3 linked regions of the Drosophila melanogaster genome follow. Changing the gene in region 1 together with any one later gene gives a genetic interaction. Each region holds a gene or a part of one and is shown on either strand. Other genes may lie near its edges.

Region 1 (8,454 bases):
ACCTGACTTAATGCTGGCCACCGAGCAGCGGGAGCCACAGGATTCGCACTGCAGGAAGAAGAGACGCGTGTCCTTCTGCAATATCGTTTCCGGGGAGCGGCAGGTGTGACAGGTGACGTACTCCTTGATGTAGCGACGCAGCACATTCTCGATCTGTTTGGGCTGGAAACGGCCCTTGATGATCAGCTGCTGGTTGCCGTCCATGGAGCCACTGGTACCCAACTCGGCCAGCAGGAAATCGAGCAGATGCTTGGGCAGGCGATGCAGCGTTTTCGCAATGTCCATGAAGTTGGCAAAGGAGGTCTTCTTGGTTCCCACGCGCAGCACCTGCGGCGGTCGCATCACGAACTTTGGCTTTCGGCCGGCGGCCATGTCCGGATTCTTGTCGAGAATGATTTCGAAGACCCGCTTCAGCAACTCGTCGTATGTGTAATCGCGGTCGGAGCCAAACCAGGTTGAGCTGTTGTCCTCGTCTGTAAACGGATGAAAACGTTATTTAAAAGGGTATGGTATAAGCTTATTTGCTAAGTGAGAGCTTTGAAATCTGGAGTCTATTTAAAGTTGGAACAGCTACATGCTAACTCACTGGCTAAGCATTTCTAGTTCACTTCATACACTGAGTTTTAATGCTTCGGAAAAGGCGAAAGCCAAGTTATACACTTTAAGAATCGTATAGCTTTGCCTTTGTCAAGTGACAACAAGCTTATATGGCTGCCAATCTTGGTTGGGATGATTCTATAACCCTAAGCTTCCCTGGCTGCTCTGCAATTCGTCACCGTACCGTTCTCTTTGTCTTCGCTCTTGTCGTCGTCCGCTTGGTCCGCAAACAGCTCGTCCAGTTCCTTCTTCTTGCTCTTCTTCTTCTTTTTGGCCATCGAGAAGTCCATGTCCAGATTGATCTCCTCCTCCTCGGGCTCCTCGCTGGCGGCCACATCATCGCCGCCAAAGCTGGGTATGGCCGCTTCGATTTCGTCCATGTTGAAGGGCTTCTTCTTCTTTTTCTTCTTCTTGCCGAAACTCTCCAGATCTAGATTATCCTCCTCGGCGGCGGCACCTCCTTCCGCCGATGCCTCATCCTGGGGATCCTCCTTCTTGGTGTCATCCTCCAGACCCAATGCCGCGTCCAGATCGAACGTGGTCTTCTTCTTCTTCTTCTTTTTCAGCAAAGTGGGATCAAAACCCTGCGAAAATCATTGGAATTTCAATATGGTTTAAATCCGGATCAAGCAAACATAACCTCAATGTTCGCCCAGTTCTCATACACAAATGTGTAAATACACACATACACATACGCAAACAAGGGCGCACATGTACGATAATATGCGAATTTTCCACGCAAGTTTTCCGCGTATGAAACGCACTAGCCGGTGTTCCGGGAACTTACGTCTTCCGCGTCCATTGTGTCTGGGCTGTTTGAATACTAGTTGACTGGAAACTAATTTTGTTTTAACTAAAAAAACTGCAATTGCATCAGCCAAAGTGACAGCACGGCAATCAGACGGTGTGACCGGCTGAGTTTTAGACGAGTAAACCATCCGGCATGCGAAAATATACTTTTAATACCATTTGCATAGATATACCGAGTATTAATAATATTCAAGTAAAACTTTTTTATAAACAATTGCTAAATTAGTTAGCTAAATTAGATAACTTTCGAACTACGAACAGTTAACATTCAATAACTCAACTCGACTTTTGAACGTATGCTTTAATTAACACAAGTATAACAGTTTTGAAGTATTTGCTTACATTGTAACAGTTAACAGTAGTCCTTATCAATTACTGTCCTACATGTCTCCGCTACTGACCGCCAGATGGCGCGTTTCAATTCTGCCAGCTCCATTAACATTTATTAAAATGTTAAGTTTAAAAATAAAAGTTGGCAAAATTTTAATTTATTTGCCGGGACAGTGATTTAAATTTGCCATAAATTGTGCGTACAGCATAGTAAATTCCAAATGAAGTGAAAACTGATTTATATTCGACCTAAAGTAAAAGGATCTTTAGATTGTTTAAAAAATACTTTTATAGAAAATAGCAATACAAACTTGATTAGGTTCATTAATCTCTACTATCAATTCTTTTATAATTTCAATAGTTACCGCTAGCAGCTCAACAAAAAAATCAACGTAGCGGTTGCATTTTCATTAAATTCTTCAATTACAAAATAGCGAAGGACATAAAATTGCAACTTTCACAATGTACATATGTATAAATAAACTTGAAAAGAACTTTATAAATAATGGCAAAAAATATGTCATCTTTAGAACACAAAAGACAGTGAACATTTGCAGAATAAATGCGTTTGAGAGTTAAGTTGTTTTTTTTTTAAGTTATTGAGCACCTTAGAGTAAAGAGATTTATTGCTCCATCCAGGATCTGTGTCAATTGTCGATTCCCGTGAGAGGTTAGTTCGTCATTCCGCTCTACAGGTGGGCACTGCTGTTGGGCTTCGTCAATGGGGGGCCAACTCCGCCGGCCAGTTTCTGGACCAGCAGACCCACTTCGTAGGCAAGATTATCGGTGTCCTGTCGTAAAAAAAAGATAGTAAGTAGAGTGTTTTGATCTAGTGCTAAGAGTTAACTTATAAGCCTTACCTCTTTGGTGGCTGCTTCGGCATAGACGCGCACCACATCCTCGGTGCCCGAGGGGCGAACGAAGGAGCGTCCCCGCTTGTATTTCGCCACCACCTGGTTGATTTCCGTCTGCAGACCTTCGGGCTTTACGCACACGCGTTCCGCATCCGTCGTCTCGATGACATTGCGATCCTGCACCTTCACCTTTAGCTGTCGGTTGGGCAGATCGTTGTACGACGAGATCCAATCCTGGACATCCCAGCCCTTGTGATTTAGGATTGTTTCCACCAGCAGCATGTCGGATATGGCATCGCCCACGGTCTCGTTGATAAGATCGATGAGCAGCAGCAACGTCTTGGCACTCTCCTTAGTTTGGGCCACCTGGGCAATCGTCGCCTTAGCATTGTCACTGAACACAATCGTTCCGTGGCCATTCGCCTCGAAGTAAACACCAATGTCGTACTCCAAGGCCTTGTGGTGCAGGTGCTTCACGCCCGTGGGTACGCACGAAACGGGAAACTTCAGCTGGTCCACTATGTAGTCCGTGGATGCACCATTGGCGTAGGCAGTTTGCACCAGGCCCAGCCGTAGGCTAATCTCGGATTGTGTGACCAGTTCCATGAGATAGCCGGCGATTAGGGTGGCTATGCGATCGCCATCGAGCAGATGGAACTCACCCTTGTCGTCGGTAAAGAAGTACACCACCCGATCGGCATCGCCATCCACGCTGACGCATCTCGTGTACGGCTTCACATCCTCGGGCATGGATTTCGGCGGACTTTGCTGCACCTTCACGTAGTCGGCGCCGCAGTCCTCGTTGATCTTGCCGACACCGATGCCCTGATTAATGACCGTCACGTTGAGGGTGCCCTTCATGCGCTTGATGAACTGCAGCATCTTGCGCGCACCCACACCGTTGGCACCATCGTAGATGATGCTATTGCGATAGTTGCCGTTCTCCAGGCGCCCGTTGCGCAGCAGTTCGAATGCCTTGATCAGCTTGTCGTAGTAACCCTCCTCGGTGGGCTTGCCGTATGCCTCCTTGGTATTCGCCGCCACCACGAAGTAGTGCAGCATGGGTGTGGTCACAATGCCGTACTCCTTGACGTTACCCTTTAGCGCTATCACGCCATCGGCCACCGCTTTCAGCAGCCGCGGACTGTGGTATCTGTTGTCCATGCCCACAAACACCTGGGAACTGGTCGTCACATCGATATTGTTGTCCTTTATGATCTTGGCCACCTGCTGCTCCAGCTCCTGGTCGCTGACGTTGACCAGATCGGTGGCTATCGCCTCCCAGCTGGCCTCCAGCATCTCGCCCTTGGGATCGACCAGCTTCACTCCGTTGTCCGGCTCCGGATTGTGCGATGCCGTGATCATCACACCGATGACGGAGCCTCCGCGATACCGGGAACGCAGGGTGGCCAGAACGCCCATGCGGAACATCACGCTGTCCAGGAACTCAGCCCTAAAAAAAAAATGCGGAGTTATTACATCAGGATTTTGTTTAGATACAAAAGTATCTTTTAGCTTGTATTTTGGAGTTGGAAAATGTTTTGTACCTAATGTTGTTTGTTTATATGTGTGTTATCACTTTAGCTATCTATTTTATCTTCGCTGGATTGATAAGCCTATAGAAGCACTGTGTATTGCTCATTTTAGGCGTTGCAATTGCTTTTATCAGTAGGTGTGTCATGGAAACTTTGTTATCTGGCTGTAAAGTGGTTAGAAAATAAGGGCGCGGAAACCACAAACTATGTAATCAAATACTTAGTTGGTTCATTTTTCACAAATAACAAGTTATTAATCATTGAGATTTGAAAATATTGCAACTTGCACATGTGGCACTAGTTCGCTGCCCGCGACTGTGCGTCAGTATGTATGCACATATGCACATGCACGCACACTTACGCACATACAGGCAGACATAACGGCGAAAGAAGGGCATGTCCATTGATAAAAGGTGAACAATATCTAAAAATAAACGCCAAATTCCAACATCACAGCCCTGCAACCGCCCATTTATCAAAAAAAAAAAAAAACCACCAACAATCGCCGTGTGCTAATCAAATGCGCCAACGTGTGCATCGTGTGGGTGTGTTAGCATAATGATTATGATGATTATTAAGATCGTTAATGGAGGCAACTACTCACTTGCCGCGAAAGCCAGCTGTTCCATATTGGATGGTCTCCTTGGAGGTCTTTGGGTACATCTCGCGGGCGAAGGCGTAGACGGTGCGCAGGTTAATAGACATCTTGCGATACTCGAGGGCGGTGCCACTGGTCCAGAGCGAGGTGAAAGGTTCCGTCCGGTTTTTCCGGACTTTCGAAATTTAACAATTCCACAGATGTGTGCAGGCGGGTGTGACCGTCGTTTCGCGGCACTGTTCCACCCTTGCTTATGCGGCCAAGCGGTCACACTGCGCTGAAACTTGTAACTACGCTATTTTCTTTAATTTCAAACATTTTACTGGCTTTATAAACAATACAGAGTGTTTTAAGGTTAAATGCAATATTTACCAGCGTAAATTTCAATAACATCTATGTTTCAAAGCGATGTTAGCGCACATATTCAATTTGAATTTGGCGGCTACAATTGCGGTCAAGATATTAGGATTCTTCAAATGATACTAATTCAAAATAAGCAAAATAACTCCTTTATCTAGTTATTTTATTTGTATACTTACATAAGCGGTTGTAAAAGATTCGGCTTACATCTCCTAGGTACATTTTTTGGACGGTCTTAGTTGGTATGTACACAAACAAATACTATAATAAGGCACAGGACTTTATAAATTATAAACTATAGCCTTCAACAGATATTTTTCGGCTAGTTAGAGTTTCATTTTCGGACGGAAGGGATTTCACATTTAACTTAATCATATTTGGAATGTAAAAATGTTGATATGTTTTCTCTTTGTGCTAGAGATGCTTGTAGAATTCTGAAATCTAAGTGAGTCTAGTGGCTTAGAGCATTGCAACCAGCGAACCCACGAGGAGCAGGCCCACGGATAATGCCAACTGGGAGGCACCAGCATAGCAGTCGGTGATGCGGCGTGCTCGCATAAAATCGCTGCCCAAATAGGCATCATACCTGCGCTTATTGGGCGGAATTACTTGCAGCTGCCGCGTGGCGTCCTGGAAGATCAGATCATAGTGCCCGATCGGCGAGGAGAACATGCTGAAACTGAAGGCGTCCACTTCCTTGCGACCGTACAGTTGTTGGGCATAGGTCAGCAGATTGATGTAGGCATTCATCTGGGTCTCGTTGTAGTTGACTCCGCCGCGGGTGACCACAGCATTGGCCTTAACCTTGCCCAGATTGCAGCGCTTGTAGTCCTGGATCTCGGCACGAGTACCATCCGTGCAGAGCAGCTCAAAGTCATCGTTTAGGGCATTCCTGGCCCACCATTCCTTGCGTTTGCCGCCCGTGCTTTCCATCACCGTGGTGTGCTTCATGAAGGCCACGTGACCGCCGCCCTCGACGAGGCAACGGAATGCACCCGTGTGCCCGTAGTATTCCTCGGAGGCATCGCGACGACAATAGCGATAGCTAGTTCCATGACACAGATCGCACATGCTGTCGTAGGGCACACCGGTGTTGTACTCATTGCTAATGGCACCCGGCACGCACGACTTGGTGAAGTACTCCGCGGCAGCTCGAACCGAATCGCATCCGTAGGGACGAATCCAGCCGTTCGAGATGAAAAGCGCCATCGGATATGTCCAGCCAGCGGCGGTGTTAATGCCCGTATGGCAGGTATTCTTACCCTTCAGGTAAGTTAGCTCCGTATCGGGATCATCCTCCTTGGCCACGGCAACCACATAATACTCGGGCTCGCCCAGATTGTACACCTCCGACATGAAGGGCACCAGGTCGTAGTTGAGGCCACCAGTGTAGACATCGCCGGCATCGAAAACGGAGATGTCTGCTTTGCCCGCTTCGATGAACTGCATGCAGTTGATGTGGGAGTGCATTTTCTTGCAGATGAGTTCTGGTTTCAGGAGGTGAGCTTTCAAGGCAGTCTAAAAGTGTTTTTGTAAAGGATCATCAACTCATCTTGCTATCCATATATTCACTCTTCAACTCACCCTCATCTTGATGCATTTATCAAGCTCATTCTCCGAAGTCACGCAAAGCGTCATCGCTGGAACTGGACACTCACGGATGCCGTAGATAAAGTTAATGGCAGGGCCTAGGTACTTGGTAAATGACTGATCATCTTCGGGAATCACGGTTAGAGCGCGACTAGAATCCTGTCACAAAACAATTGAATGTTAAGTATGTATTTCGGATCACGGAAAATATGATCCACTTACCTGGAACAGCAAATTTGGCTTGCCATAGCGCTTCGACTCGAAGATGCGGAACTTCTCATAGAGTATGGAAGTGTTCGTGCCGTCCTGCTGGTTTCTTTCCTCTGCAAAACTGCTGTCCAATCGTTCGCTGCGATACTGATCGTATTGATTCTGCGTTCTGTACGGATCATTATTATCGAACTGGCCATAGGCATTCTGATCGTTGATGTTGTTGCGGCTGTTGAAGCTTTGTCCTCCCTGCCTGCTCTGATCATCACGTGTGCCATCGGAGTACAGCTCGGCAATGCGCTTCAAAAACTGCTGATACTGCTTGCGATCGCTGAAGCTGCGAGCCGAAGATGTGACAATGGCATCGGCGGGCACTTGGCCCCAATTACACTGGCGATAATCGTTGATGGAGGCACGACGACCATCACGACACAGCAGCTCAAAAGTGTCGGGTGCTATGTTCTCTAAAAAACGCAGCTTAGATCAGTAATGGGTTTTCAGAAGTTTCCCTTTGGTAACTCACTGAATTCGGTGGTTTGCAGCATTTCATTCACAGTCGAATGGCGCAAGAAGGCAACATCTCCTTTTTCAAGCAGACATTTGAAGGCGCCTTCGTAGCCGAAGTAGGGATCTGCAGATGAGCAGCGTCCTCCGGGTATCTTTCCAGTGCAAAGCGTACAAAGTCTGGTTTGAAAATTGATTTGTTGTTAGTTAATGTGTGTAAAATTGTGGCTTTTATGCGTCATTACTTATCGGAGTTGTCGCCAATTGGATTGTGTTTGTCGGAAAGCGAGTACACAGCACACGAATTATTGAAATAGCTGGCGGCCGTCTTCACCTGGTTGTTGCAGTCCACCACTTCCATGCCGCCCTCCCTTTGGAGCTGCAAAACGATAAAATTTGTTTGTTAGTTGCCTAATGAAACAAATAAACAATCAACTTAAAAGAGGAGTTCTACTCACCGTGTGAATGGGCACAATCCAACCGGCCAAGCTGCCCACCCAGGGGAAGCACACCCTCTTGTTGCGCATGTCGCGCAGATTGTTCAAGTCTGGTAGAGATCCCTTCTTGATCACGGCTACGGATTGATAGTCCGCAAAGCCGCCCTCCAGTTTCTCCTGCATAATGGGTATGAGGGAGTTGTACCGTCCAGCAGTGAAGACATCGCCCGCATCCAGCGTGGTGATGTGTGCCTTCTCGCGATCAATGTGATGGATGCACTCATCCGCACTGTAGGCCATGAAGCAGGTGAGATTGAGGAACACCTCGTCGAATAGTGCCCGATCCCGCTCGATGGCCACCGTAAGGTTCTGGCATTTGTACTGCTCCGCCTGGCTCTTGGTGCACCACACCATCCGTGTGGTCTTGTGCTCATCGTAGTGATGTTGTGCTGCAAAATCGTGGTTTTAACTCATGCCAACGCCCTAGAAATGGGCGACTTTCGTATTCCAGCCGCAACTTACCGTTAGCGAGCGTAAAACATAAGGCGCCGACTAGAGCCACAAAAACGAGGCTGCTAGCCATATTCGGGATATAAGAATATTAATAAGTGTATTAACTAAAAAGATCT
Region 2 (6,305 bases), on another chromosome or scaffold:
CGTCCCGCATCTTTTCGCTTTCAACGGCAGCCTTAATTTTCCACACATGCCAGCCCCGTCTGGCTTTGTATCTCAGTATCGGCGGTATCTCTCAGTTTGCACTGGGTATTACTCTCATCTTTAATTAAAACAGACACAGTTTCTCTCCGCGTTCTGGGTCTGATCTTTCCAGTCCGCATTCAACATTCAGCCCACATCTGGCGGACAAAAAAAAATTAAAGAAATTAAAAGCAACAAAAATAACGGCCGGCGGAGAAGACTACTGTGTTCAGTTGTCTCTGTTCTCCCGCCCCCGTCGCCACGCCCACAGTCAGAGTCAGAGCAGAGACAAGGGCAAATATTGTTTCGGCTTGCATTTGTTGCTCTATTGTTGACTGCAACATGTGGGCACATCATCAGCATCGAACATACACGAATGTACATATACGTATGTCTACCTAAGATCGTGCCACATGTGTTGCACAGACATTGTCGTCGATTCTCGAGGGGAAGTAGCGACTCCAGCGTCTAAATGATGGGGTTATCCGAAATGTTGACTTCCAGGAAGGCATCCGCCAAATCGGAAACTGCCAAAAATTGTATATATGTTTGGTATTCTATCTCCACCCTCCGACCTTCACCTCCATCGATAATGAGCGCGCAATTTTAGTATATGTATGTATTTCCTGTGCCGTCCAAAATCGCCCGATTTATAAACAAACACGTTCCGGAAAGTATTTGCAAAGTATACAAACATTGCACGGTATATGTACATTTCCCATCGAATTGAAATCGCCGGTCACTTGGCGCATCCATTTCAATCGCACGGGTTGACCCGCAATTGACGCACTTGGCGGTTGCCCCGCTGCCGCTCAGTGTATCCGATACCAAGTCGAGACCGGCACGAGTCTGTTATTTCGCACGGTTCGTCGGCAGGTTCCACCAGCCATCAGCCACCCAATGCCAATCCCATCCAGCCATCCATCCATCCATCCATCCCCACCCGTTCATCTAGTATATACCATTCAGTACGTGACGGCGAGAAGGTTGCATCCCATGGGGTAAACGAAAAGAAGCAGATGGAGCGAAAGGTCGATTGTGGCAAGTCGACTTTATCAAAAACGCGAAGCTACGTTAAATTATCACAAAGTATATGAGTAGTGAACTATTGATTCGATTTACATTTCAGAAATATAAAGCACGCAGCGATTTATATAAAGAACGTTCAACAGATTTAGTTGAAATAAATATGTGCTATTCTTAAATTGTTGCAAGCTTTACTTATATATTTGTAAATTTGCCATTTAGAGCTTTAAAATTTTATTAGTACTCACAAACATTTAGACAACAAAATCCATTATAAAAGTGCTGTAGCATTGATAAGCTTAAGCTATAATATATTATAATACCAAAAAATAACATTATTACTTTATTGTTGACATAAATCTATTTCTAAATCGAAATCTTTATTTGGTAAACACTGATTTTATGATAAACTCTCATGAAAACATTTAATATTATATAGCAAGCATATATTCTCGTGACATTTGTACTTTAACATCATAAAGATCAAAGGATCATACCGAAAGTCTGCGTGGATCCCACCTGAGATGATATGGGAACAATACCGGGAACTGGCCGCACAATTAGCTAAACAAACCTAACCTTAATTATCATTCATAAATAAATTGCAGAGAAGGGAGGCGAAAAGTAAGAAGCGTCTTCGGTTGTCGGCCAGCAAATTGAGTGATTGCCAAAGGCAACAAAACAGAAGCCGAATCACCTAGAAGATGGCATCGTAAAGCTAACCGACCGACAAAACAGATACCCGATAAATATATATATATACATATATATACACACAGATAGCTATATCTTTAGCTATATACTCACTCAGATATAGAGCAAGTCGGACAAAGAGCAGACAAGTTGAAATGTTTGTTTACGCGGCTAGAAAATATTGCATGTTCCTATACCGTCTACATTCTAGAATCTAGACTCTAGATGATACGATATATGCTATATGCTGTTGGTTAATAAACAAAATCCCATTCTAAGGGAGCGTTGGAATATAACAGAATTATGAGTTTGAAATATTTTCCCGAGCTCTGGGGCATCGGTTGGCTTGTAAAAGCAAATAAATAAATATAAATTAGAATGGGAACCCTGTGGAAAAGTGCTTTCAATTTGAGCATGTACCATAGCAGAACCGAATGGAATAAATAAAAAATAAAAAAAACAGATACTATGGGGAGCCCACAACTGTCCATATTCACTGTATTATTATGGGGTAGCCAGAGAATAGATAATTGAACGATTGACTACACACACACACAGCGGGATAAACGACACAAATTGCTTTGGAACCGAACCACTGCACATTTTACACTTTTTGGCCTTTGGGTTAAAAAGTCAAATTGCTGTGCGCGGTCAATCAAAAAGTGGATCAAACAAATGATTTGCGCAACTACGCAAAAAAAACCAAAAACAAAATAAACTAAATTAAACGATGCACGGTGTGTATTTTTAAAGACTTACCTCACAAAGTGCGTTGCTCCACGAACAAAAAAAAAAAAATGCCAAAAAGCTTCTTGCCAAATATCCACCAAAGTGTCTCTGCGTTGGAATTTCTCCTTGCCTTCGTCTAAATTGTAAGTCTTTCACTAAAAACACAATTGGGAAAGTTCACAGAATTCGAGAATGTTTCCACTTAAAATTCCAGAAATGTTTTAGTACGCATTTATATGGCACTTAGGCACTTAAACAGAACCAGAAACCGTTGCACACTTGACTCTGTTTTGTTTCTTTCCATCCACAAAATGTGTGCGTTTTCACCAAGAGGCATTACTAATAATTATTAGTATAATTATATTATATGGCGTTATTACGCGTTCAATCGATCGATCGTTCGCTCTAATTTTCGACGATTTTTCACCGATTTTCCAACGATTTTCCAACCGATTTTCCAACGATTTTCCTCCGATTTCGCCTACTGTAACGGCACGCAGTCCGATCGCAACTGAGTCAAAAAAAAGCAAGCGAACCGAACAGAACCGAGCCAGCTCTGCGAAATAAATCTCTTCAATTAAATGAGGGAACAAATGAAACGAATTCACATTTCCCCCATCAACTTCAACATGCTGGAGAACACATCTCTGCAATGTATTTTTGCGGCAGGCGCGTAAACAAATACAGAAAACACACAAAATTGAACGGAACGCCAGCCACACATTGTATAATCCGCAGCCAAAGAGAGGAAGGGTCGAAAAAGCGAGGGGTTGGGTATGCGGTATATGTATGTATGGTACTATATGGTATAGGGGCCCCTATACCCTATATATGGGGGACCCACACACACACACACACAAGTGTGTAGCTGAGTGGCGGCCTTCCCTTGGAAAGTGAAATGTAATTGAGTGCACAGACCGCACTCGTTCTAAAATTCGTTCAATTGAGTCGAATGGAATATCTCAAAGATATTCTAACGCACAATATGTTGCATAGTTTCGAGCGCAGCGAGGAAATTCATGAATTTCATTATGAGGGTGCAAAGAAGATGGGTAGTTGTCAAAAAGATTCCTTATATTCAGATCAATTATTTATGTAGTTATAATTGGTTTGATGGATCATGCTTTATTAAAAAGAATAGCTAACTTATCTTAGTCAGAATAGATCAGTCACTTGAATTTAATTATTATTATTTTTTAAAAAGATTTATGGCCTATGAGGGCCTAAGATTCTACTGACAAATTCTTTGCGCATTTCTTTGCGCTTCGTTTGAGGCGGAAAATGCGGAATGAGATTCATTAGCCAACACAATAGCTCGCTAAGTAAGTTAGCAGTTATTAATTATGAGCTACTTATAGCCAATGTCAAATGGCCAACAGACACATAAGAACCAGTAGCCAAGTGGCGATGGAAGAAAGCCCCTCTAATGAATGACACTCGTGGTGAAAAGGCCATCAAAGCACACACGCTGTGCGCCAAAGACAATGGCATCGTTTAGCGTTTGTCTCTATGGAGACACCAAAAATAACGAAAAGGGTTAGCCAAACAATGGACAATGACGCAGGGGGGATTTTGGCCGAAAATCGAAAACAATTAACGATTATTGACCATCAATTGTGGCCGACGGGACCCGTTCAGTGCCAAATGGCGTTACGCCTGACTGATTAATTGATGCTCCACGGCGGAATTGGGAGGGAGGATCCCCATGAGTGGTTAGCATAGTTTCAACAGTTAACAACCTCGTAAAGCCGCAGAGAGACCGGGGAAAGCACGGGTTAAAGACGGCCACCGATCAGTGTGTATGGTCATAATACTTAAATTTTATGCACTCCTGGGCAAGCCTCCTGGCTCCAACCTGGCTCCAAACCGGGCTCCTCTTGGCTACCCAAAAGTGCTTCTCCTCGAGGCTGCCGATCGCAGCTTCAGCTTCCGTATGGCTTTTCAATTTGGCCAGAACGAAACGCAAGTTGTTAGCGTTTCGAGCATAGAAATAAATATTGGGAAATTGGCTCAAAGTCTGGTTGGTCGAGCCTTTGGCCATTTGGCTCTGGGAATCTGCGAATGGGAAATGAAAAATCGGGAACGGTAACAGGCTTTTGGAGACACGATCTTCGAGTTGGGCGACACGATCTGCAGCCATCTCGCAGATCGCAGCTCGTCGAGATCTCGTGCAGAGCAGCCAAACAGCATAAAGTTAATTGCTAATATGATTAATTGCACATTAACATGAATTTTTATAGCCAATTATATGCGAAATATGCCAATGAGAAACGCTTTCGACCAGCGGATTAAACAACCAAAAAATAAGTTAACTGCTAGACTTATTCAGTTGCAATAGATAAACAGATGGGCTATTGAAGCTGTCAATGAAAATAAGGAAGAGCAATATATTAACTTTTGCTAGGTGACTTGGGAAATCAATTAAATTTTGGGATTAGTAGATTAAGATTAAGAAATTGAGTTGAATGTATTTATTGTATCATATGGGCTCAAATAAGTTAGGCCTGCAAAACATTGATTCATCATTGCCTAGAACCAAAAACCCGCTTAAAACCAGACCAATTCGATGGCTCCATTCGTTGGCGATGTCGATGATAATTTATGCATCAACTGTGCGTGGCAATTTGGCATCTTCGCAATCCAAACCGAGTGGGTTGCTGCTGGCAGGCGAAATTATGCGGGTGTGTTTGCATTTGCCACAAGAGCAGGCAAATAGCAAAATAAATGAAAATGCAATAAGCCTCGAGACAGGCGGAAAGCAAAAATCAAAAATGCGAGAAAAAACAAAACAAAAGCCCGAAATCGAATTTCCAATCACTCAAAAACTATTGGAGATTCGAATTTGAATTATTGGCTCCACCTTGCCAGCACCGCGCCATTTCCGGTCTTAAATCTTTGAGCGCGTGAGCTAATCATAACTTACAATGTGGTCCGGCAATTTGACAGGCTGTTGGCCTTTTTTTTTCTTCTTTGGTTTAGACCCAGAGTTGGCCAGTTGGCCTGCCACAGAGATGGGTGTTCGGGTATCCAAGCGGAGGATCATGGCTCATGGATCATGTGGGGCTGGAAATTGTTGCCATCGCCGAGCGCTTTGGGGCTCGGCAAGCTGTGCGAGCTGTCAATGAACTTGTATGCACTTGATTGATTTATATTGTGCTGGCTGGTTGATGTATCTCTGGATCTATGGTAAATCAGCTTAAGCAGACCGGCGATCGTTGATATCTTGCTTTTAACACGACGCTCGAAACGCTGGAAACGAAAGGCCAGCAGAAATCTCGAGTAGAGTCGGCGAATCTAATGAAAGGTGTATTAATTATATTAGATATCCCCAGCAACACGATCTTCCCTGTTCTACTGGCTATGGCTACTGTTCGAAGTTCTCAGTTCGGAAAGTGGTTTTATCTGCCCGTTTTCTGTTCCACCAAGGGTCTTAGCCGCCGTCGCGGTCTAGGCCATAATTTAAAGCTGGCTCTTTAGAAGAGAGGGGGCAAATGGATATGGTATGGGCTGGGGCGGCTAAAACTGGCGCTTAAAAGTGCGTTTAAACAGACCTTTCGGCCGGATTGGGCTTGGCGCGCGGGCGTGGCCTTTGTATATGTATGTATTCCCTGGTTTTTAGTCCCGGTCCCCATAATCCCTAATAATAATCATGTGCTGTAATTGACGATTTATGCTAAGCCCGATATAATTTACGCCGTTCGAAGCACTGGTGCCTCACCTCAAACCACCGCTGAGCAGGAGGCGGAGAAGGAGTATCGCATAAATCATAACTGCACCTGGGTTGGCTGGAACTTGGAGACCGGGAACAAGGAATCTGG
Region 3 (6,533 bases), on another chromosome or scaffold:
TGGATTTTTTAAAGTCGACATTTGTATAGATATCTGCATATCTGTTTCGGACCTGGGTCCGTTCATCGACCCACCAAGCGGATTGCATTGTCAACAATGGTCAAATGGTATGATCCACTTGGTCTAATAACCCCAATTGTCAGAAAATCACATGATCTTTCTGCAATCTCTATGGAGTGCTAAGGTGGAATGGGACGACGCATAGCCAGACCAATTTTTTCGTCATGGTGGGAGTTGACTTCACAGTTATCGGTCGTAGAGAACTTAAAATTTCATTTATCTTCGCGAAGGCAGATGTAAACGGTGACCCTGATGCAACAACACTCCTGGAAAGGATTGAGCTGCGAGTATTTGTCCCTATTCCAAGAGAAACGCAAGTGTCGCGTCGTAGTTTTGCTTAAGGAGGACAACATTCCACCGTTGAGATGTCATTTTGAGCGCATCCAGGAAGTCATATCCGGCGGGGACAGCGTCATCAGAGTAGCTATCAAGAGAGCCGTCGTCCAACCAGTTGCCCCATCGATTTCGATATAGTTGGAACCGTACCTCTAACAACGAGCAGTCATGCGCTTATATTGTATGTATGTGTGACACCTCCTGCAGCGCTCTTCGGGTAACTATTTTCGCCCTTATTTCTACTCTGGCTAAAAATGTTGGGTTATCTATTCAGCTATTCGAAATCGCTACAGAAGCCTCGTCTGTTCATTTCTTTAAAATAGCTAATAAAAAGGCTTCTTAGCTCAACATACATGATACAAAATTTTCAACAAATTTAGTATGCCGACTTCCCCAACTATCATATACCCGTTACTCAGCTAGTTGAAATTGCGGCAGTTTTGGGCGGCTTAAGGCGTTAGAGTGGGTGTCTCAAAAATTTTTTGGCAGATAGATAGAACTTTACAAGACTAAAAATGTTATGAAAATATATCCAAAAATTATTCAAAAATGTGGGCGTGGCACTTTTGCTCGGTTTTAGGGCGTTCGAGTGGGAGTGGAAAATAGTGTTTTGGCAAATCGATAGAAATTTACAAGACTAATAAAATTATAACAAAATATCCAACAAATTTTCAGTCTTGGGCGGTTTTAAAGCCTTAGAGTCGGCATGACAAATCAATAGAAATTTACAAGACTAACAAAATTATAAAAAAATATCTAAAATTTTGAAAAATTGTGCGAGTGGCAGTTTTAGGGCTTTAGAGTGTGCGAGGCAACAATTTTTTTTTGCAAATCGATAGAAATTTACAATATTAATAATAATGTAAAAAAAATCAACACGTGTTTTTAAAAGTGTGTGTGCGCCTTTGTCCCTAGAATCTGTATGCTGAATCTTAACCTAGCTTTCAATCTAGCTTTCATAGTTCCTGAGATCTCGACGTTCATACGGACTCGGCTATTGGTCCCTGATCAAGAATATAAATACTTCATATGGTCGGAAACGCTCCCTTCTGTCTGTTATTTTTTAAAGAATATTTACGAATATAACAAATATTCAAGAATAACGAATTTTTTAATATTAACATTAGCAGTATAATTTTAAATAATTCAAATACTGTAAGCATATATAATTTCCAAATGAAAAATTCTTAAGCCTCAATGCATTTTCATATATAATTATACAACTGCTTATACTTACCTGCGATTTTCGAGAACGGTGCAACGTCGTGGTCGGATGGGACTTTAACGTGTGGGCCGCTCTAGTGTGGTCGCCACACACAACTCCCAAGGGCAAATTAAATCTCGAAACATTCGCTAGGCTGGACGTTCAACAGTGCCGTTGCAGGATTAATTATCGACCTCACGTTCATAAGCAGTCCATTCGCTCGCTTCTCCTGTTGGGGTATCAAGGAGGTGGTCACAGTCAGTGACCACGAGGCGATCCAGGTCGAAATAGGCACAAAGGCAATCGAGAGCAGGGCTAACACGCAGTAACCTAAGGCCTACCGACAGAACACCATGAGTCTAGAAGAGTCCGCCGGCATTCTCCATTACCTGACGGTCAACGAGGCGAACTTGTGATCGCAGCAGCGGATAAAATAGTAGCGAGGGTGGAGGAGGCCTGCGGCCAAAGCATGCGAATGAGGAAAACGAACCGAAGGCACCACACCCTGGTTTTCTGGTGGAGCGAGGATATTGCCTTGCAGCGCATCATCAGCCTACGCGCAACGAGACTCGTACAAAGAGCTCGTGGCACCACGCGTCTGGAAGCATGCCATACGGAATACAAGGTCACAAAGAATTCACCGAAGAAAACGATTAGAGCCAGCAATCGTGAATGCTTTCTGAAAGTCTGCGTCGCAGCAGAAAGCGATCCATCTGCTCTGGAAAACATCTTTAACGTTCTGTTCCTGTTCGGTCTGCCATTCCCAATTCCCAGATCGGGCCAAGCGGAGACGAATTGCGGCCTGTCACGGAGCCCGAGATCCTAGCGGCTGAGAGGAGTCTTAAAACCAAAACGGTACCACACCCGATCGCATCCCAAGCAAACTACGAGAAACAGTGCTATGTTTGTTACCGCCTAAATTTGAAGGTTTTTTTTTTGTTTTACCAATTATTTTTAAAATATCCATGAGATCTGTTACTAATTTTTTTATTTCGATTGAAAATCATTGTAGTATTTAAGTTTAGTGAGTAAAATAATGAGAAAGTGTCAGAAAATAGAGAAAAGCTGGGACAAACACGAAATGTGCTTATGATGCTATTATTGTTACCGCAACTGTAATAAAGAGAGTTTCTTGACAGTCTTAAAAGCGTGTAAACTTGGAATTTGTTGTTTATTTTCTTGTATATTTAATATTTTTAATTTGTTTTTTGATTTATAAGTAAAATAAATATTGTTTGATTATATTTTATAAAAAAAATTGCGTTTAATTAAGCAAAAAACCCTTTATTTTTAGCTTTAAAGTCAAAAATTCAACTTATTTTACAGTGTGTAAACAGTTTCTTGACAAACTGTATGTGATATGTGATTCTAGAGACATAGGCGCCGCGCAAGTTTGTTAACCCATGTTGCCATGTGCAATCCAACGCACACATACCGGACAAAACTGCCACGTCTACACTTATGTAAAATGTTTTATTATTCTTTCATATTTTTATTTTCTTTTAAATTTCTATGAATTTGCCAGAAAACATTTTGCCATGACCACTCTAACGCTAACAATTTCAAAATGTTTTGAAATTTTTTGATTTTTGTATACAATTTCTATTAATTCGCGGCCACGGCCCTTCTTACACCTTCCAAACCGGTCAAGACCGAACTTTTGATCAATTTGAAACAATTTTGTTCTTATTTTATATCCCAGTATTTAACGATATCCCAGAAAAATGATGAATGAATTTCGTGTTCCCATTTTCACGAGCTGACTAACGGTTATCTGATTGACTCGACAATACCATTCTCTCTTCATTTGAAATTATATGTGGTATATCATTGGTATAACATTGATATTATGTTAATATGGTTTTTGCCGCCGTAAGAATAGGGTATAAGCTATTAAGTTGCTGTTCACAGTGTTCAATATTTGAGTATGTAAATATTTGATTTTCTCTTGTAAATCGTATTAACAGCTGAGTGGATGTTTGAAAATAATTAAATCAGGTTGCTTTTATAACTTAATGCAATTCATATTGATATTTTACTGATATTCTCTTTCTTAAAGGTTTAATCATGTAAACAACATCACAGTGTCTTTACTTAAGGGTGGCTTATTGATTTTAGACACATGTTATCAACGTTGGATTTTAATGCATGTTGAACAAACACGAATAAATATGCAGTCTCAAGGACAGAGCCATCAACTGCCGTCCGCGGCCCATATATTATTAGATCAAAATCCGAATTCAACAGGCAGTAACCTAGTCGTAAAACAAAATGACATTCAATCTCTTTCATCAGTCGGTAAGAAATAACCATACATTTATATATGTATGTACATACGTTTGTAATTGATTTTTTTAAAGAATACATCTAGTTAAATACTTTATACATTAATGCAAATGAATAAGTTTGACAGCGAAGACAACCACAATTAAATTAAGAAAAATCAATAAATCAAACAATTGGTTATGCCTGGCCCGAGATAGATATGTGTCTAATGTGTCTCATATTAACAACATATTAAGAGATGCATATGGTGTACGCATCTAAAAATTCACACAACATAAAAATCAGTGTTCAGTGTCTGAGCTTATTTCGTGTAGTTAAATTAATTTTTATGTTGGCATTGCTTCGATGAAAGATACCAGAAAAATGTAAACGCAATATTTTTGAAAGAATTATTGACATGGTTAAAAAACAGACGATTTCCGTATTCTAAATGTGCATCCCTCATTAAAGCCGTATCTTGTAAGGGGTATCTGGTAGTCGAGAAACTCGTCTATAATGTTATCTCTCACTCCATCTAAAATTAAATTTTTTATTGTAATTTTTTTTTTTTCTGGCTTAAAGCTTACTTTGCACTTAAATTTTTTTTCGTTCTGCTGTAGCTTGCACGTTTTTCCTTTTTTAAATTTTTGACAACATATATTACATATATGTACATATATTATTTGGTATTCATTGAAAAGTTCTTCGGTGCTTTTCGGCCTTCATTCAATACAGTATTTTCTTTTAGGGAGAAGCTTCCGCTTCTCCGCGAAGTTGGATCAATCTCGGATATTAAAATTAAAAAATTGTTAGGTTTAAAATGGCCATTTATTGAATATTAACATACTGCACAAAATAAGCTGCGGCATAAAAAACACCTTTTTGTTTTCTAAAACGATTAGAAAATTGCTTTTTTTTTATATAACAAATTTAAGAATCCGGTGCTGAAATACCTTATTGGTTTGAAACCTCTAAACTGTACGAACAAACTACAGCAGACAACTTCGGATGTGTCCTTTGAAATTTCAAGGGTTCGTTACCCTGCATATCCGTTGGTTAATCTGCACCAATTGAAGTGCTTAACACTAGTCTAATTTGTTTAAACTGTATTATTTCTAGAATATCATTGACTGCGTAGTGAGAGATCTTGAAAACTCATTGACTCGGCCCATTTTAGGGTAGTCCTGAATCTGGATGTGTATGATCTATACCTGTATTTCAATCTGCATACATATGCATGTGTCTGCAGTTCTCAGTGTGTGTCTCAATCATCTTTCCTTGCTGTACCTGAGGAATTATCTCTTGAGCATAGTATCTAGTTGCCTTCTCTAAAGTATGAAGCTTATACAGATTACTTCCTCTGATAATTGCACGAAATAATATTCAGTGTGAAGAAGGAAGTTTAAAAATAAGTTTTGTTTTCATTTTATTATTTGCCTTGCTATGTTTTATTGATTTAAAAATCTGTTGCGGAACTCGACCAAAGGGTACGGCCAAAGACACCAGAATAACAAGATGCGTAACGCCATTCGATGTGGCTCTAGAGCACTATGGGGCATTTGGCCTGTTTTTTTTACAATAATGTGTTTTTCACAAGTATGCAAATTTGAAGTATTTTAGTATTAATACATTGGAAATACGTTAAACTGTTATGATACAGCCCGCAAAAGTTAATTTTACAATGCACCGTTATAATAACAGCTGTTAAAGTCGGCTGTTGCGAGCATATATCACGTGGCTGCTTTGCGCGCAAAATTTAGCTTAACTTTCAAAGTGTTAAAATTTAAAAAGAAGAAGAAGGAGAGTATAATTTGAAATAGATAATCAATCTTTAGGTTTTTATTATGTGTTGTTATTAATATATTGTTTATTGTGTGCGCCTATTTCTAACAATTTGTACATTTAGCAAGTGGTGTCAACATGTAGTTGTTTGAAAAAATTTTAAACTTTGAATAGAGCTACAACAATTTGTTCAAATTTGTTCAGTAAGTGTTTATATCCATGTTGTAGTGTGTTCAATTTCTAACTCATATCAGGTAGTCTCTATGTGCGTTTTTTGCGGTTTCTTGAGAAATTTCATTTTTTAGGGAGCAATATCTCGATTTCCAATGCTGCCCTGCTGGAAGTGTGGCGCAAGCAAAAGGTTGTTCGTCAAAAGGAAAATTCTATTTGCACTTTTATCAGTGGGCATATTTCTGATAGCAAGCTAGACTTTAATGAACGATTAACGAATAATATTAATAACGAATGATTTCAGTCAATCTTTTGCGAAATTGGAGAAAATGCAATCGAAAAATAAATGAATTTTTGAAAGTTTTTCAAATTGGTTAGAAGAACACCTAGTCCTGAAGGTAAAGGAGAAAAATAAAAAGGAAAGGAAATTAGCTGGACTCCCGAAAACGTCATATTATTTAAAAAATTTGAGTGGCCGAAGACAGCAAGCAGATGAACTCGTAAGGGCGCAGAATCACAACGAATGTCTTTTGGTTCAAGCTGTACGGAAGTGCTGCCTGCGGGATCTTGCAGCCATACTTAAAATTCTTTTGTTGAACCCAGCCAAAGCAAAAACTATTAGTAGCTTCGCAGATGTCTTTTACAGAGCAATGGATACTACGGATCCCATAATATCATCAATAAATTTAAAGAGGCGAAAACATAAGCGACTATC

What was found. A genetic interaction does not mean that the proteins touch.
Region 2: of nst (region 1) and htl, changing one enhances a phenotype caused by changing the other (phenotypic enhancement), as found in Drosophila melanogaster (one study listed by BioGRID).
Region 3: of nst (region 1) and sxc, changing one suppresses a phenotype caused by changing the other (phenotypic suppression), as found in Drosophila melanogaster (one study listed by BioGRID).

What each region holds. Positions count from the first base shown.
Region 1 is NT_037436.4:12,525,205-12,533,658, forward strand, and holds nst (nesthocker), read right to left. Parts: upstream 4,968-8,454; 5' UTR 4,832-4,967; coding exon 4,731-4,831; intron 4,045-4,730; coding exon 2,598-4,044; intron 2,529-2,597; coding exon 2,427-2,528; 3' UTR 2,011-2,426; downstream 1-2,010. Other genes in the region: eIF2beta (eukaryotic translation initiation factor 2 subunit beta), read right to left, coding at 1-473, 782-1,181, 1,385-1,399; Tsf2 (transferrin 2), read right to left, coding at 5,544-6,602, 6,669-6,833, 6,897-7,348, 7,408-7,568, 7,634-7,767, 7,847-8,274, 8,348-8,408.
Region 2 is NT_033777.3:18,049,985-18,056,289, forward strand, and holds the start of htl (heartless), read right to left. Parts: upstream 3,001-6,305; 5' UTR 2,518-3,000; intron 1-2,517. UniProt on the Drosophila melanogaster protein: May be required for patterning of muscle precursor cells. May be essential for generation of mesodermal and endodermal layers, invaginations of various types of cells and CNS formation.
Region 3 is NT_033778.4:5,303,755-5,310,287, forward strand, and holds the start of sxc (super sex combs), read left to right. Parts: upstream 1-3,533; 5' UTR 3,534-3,744; coding exon 3,745-3,898; intron 3,899-6,533.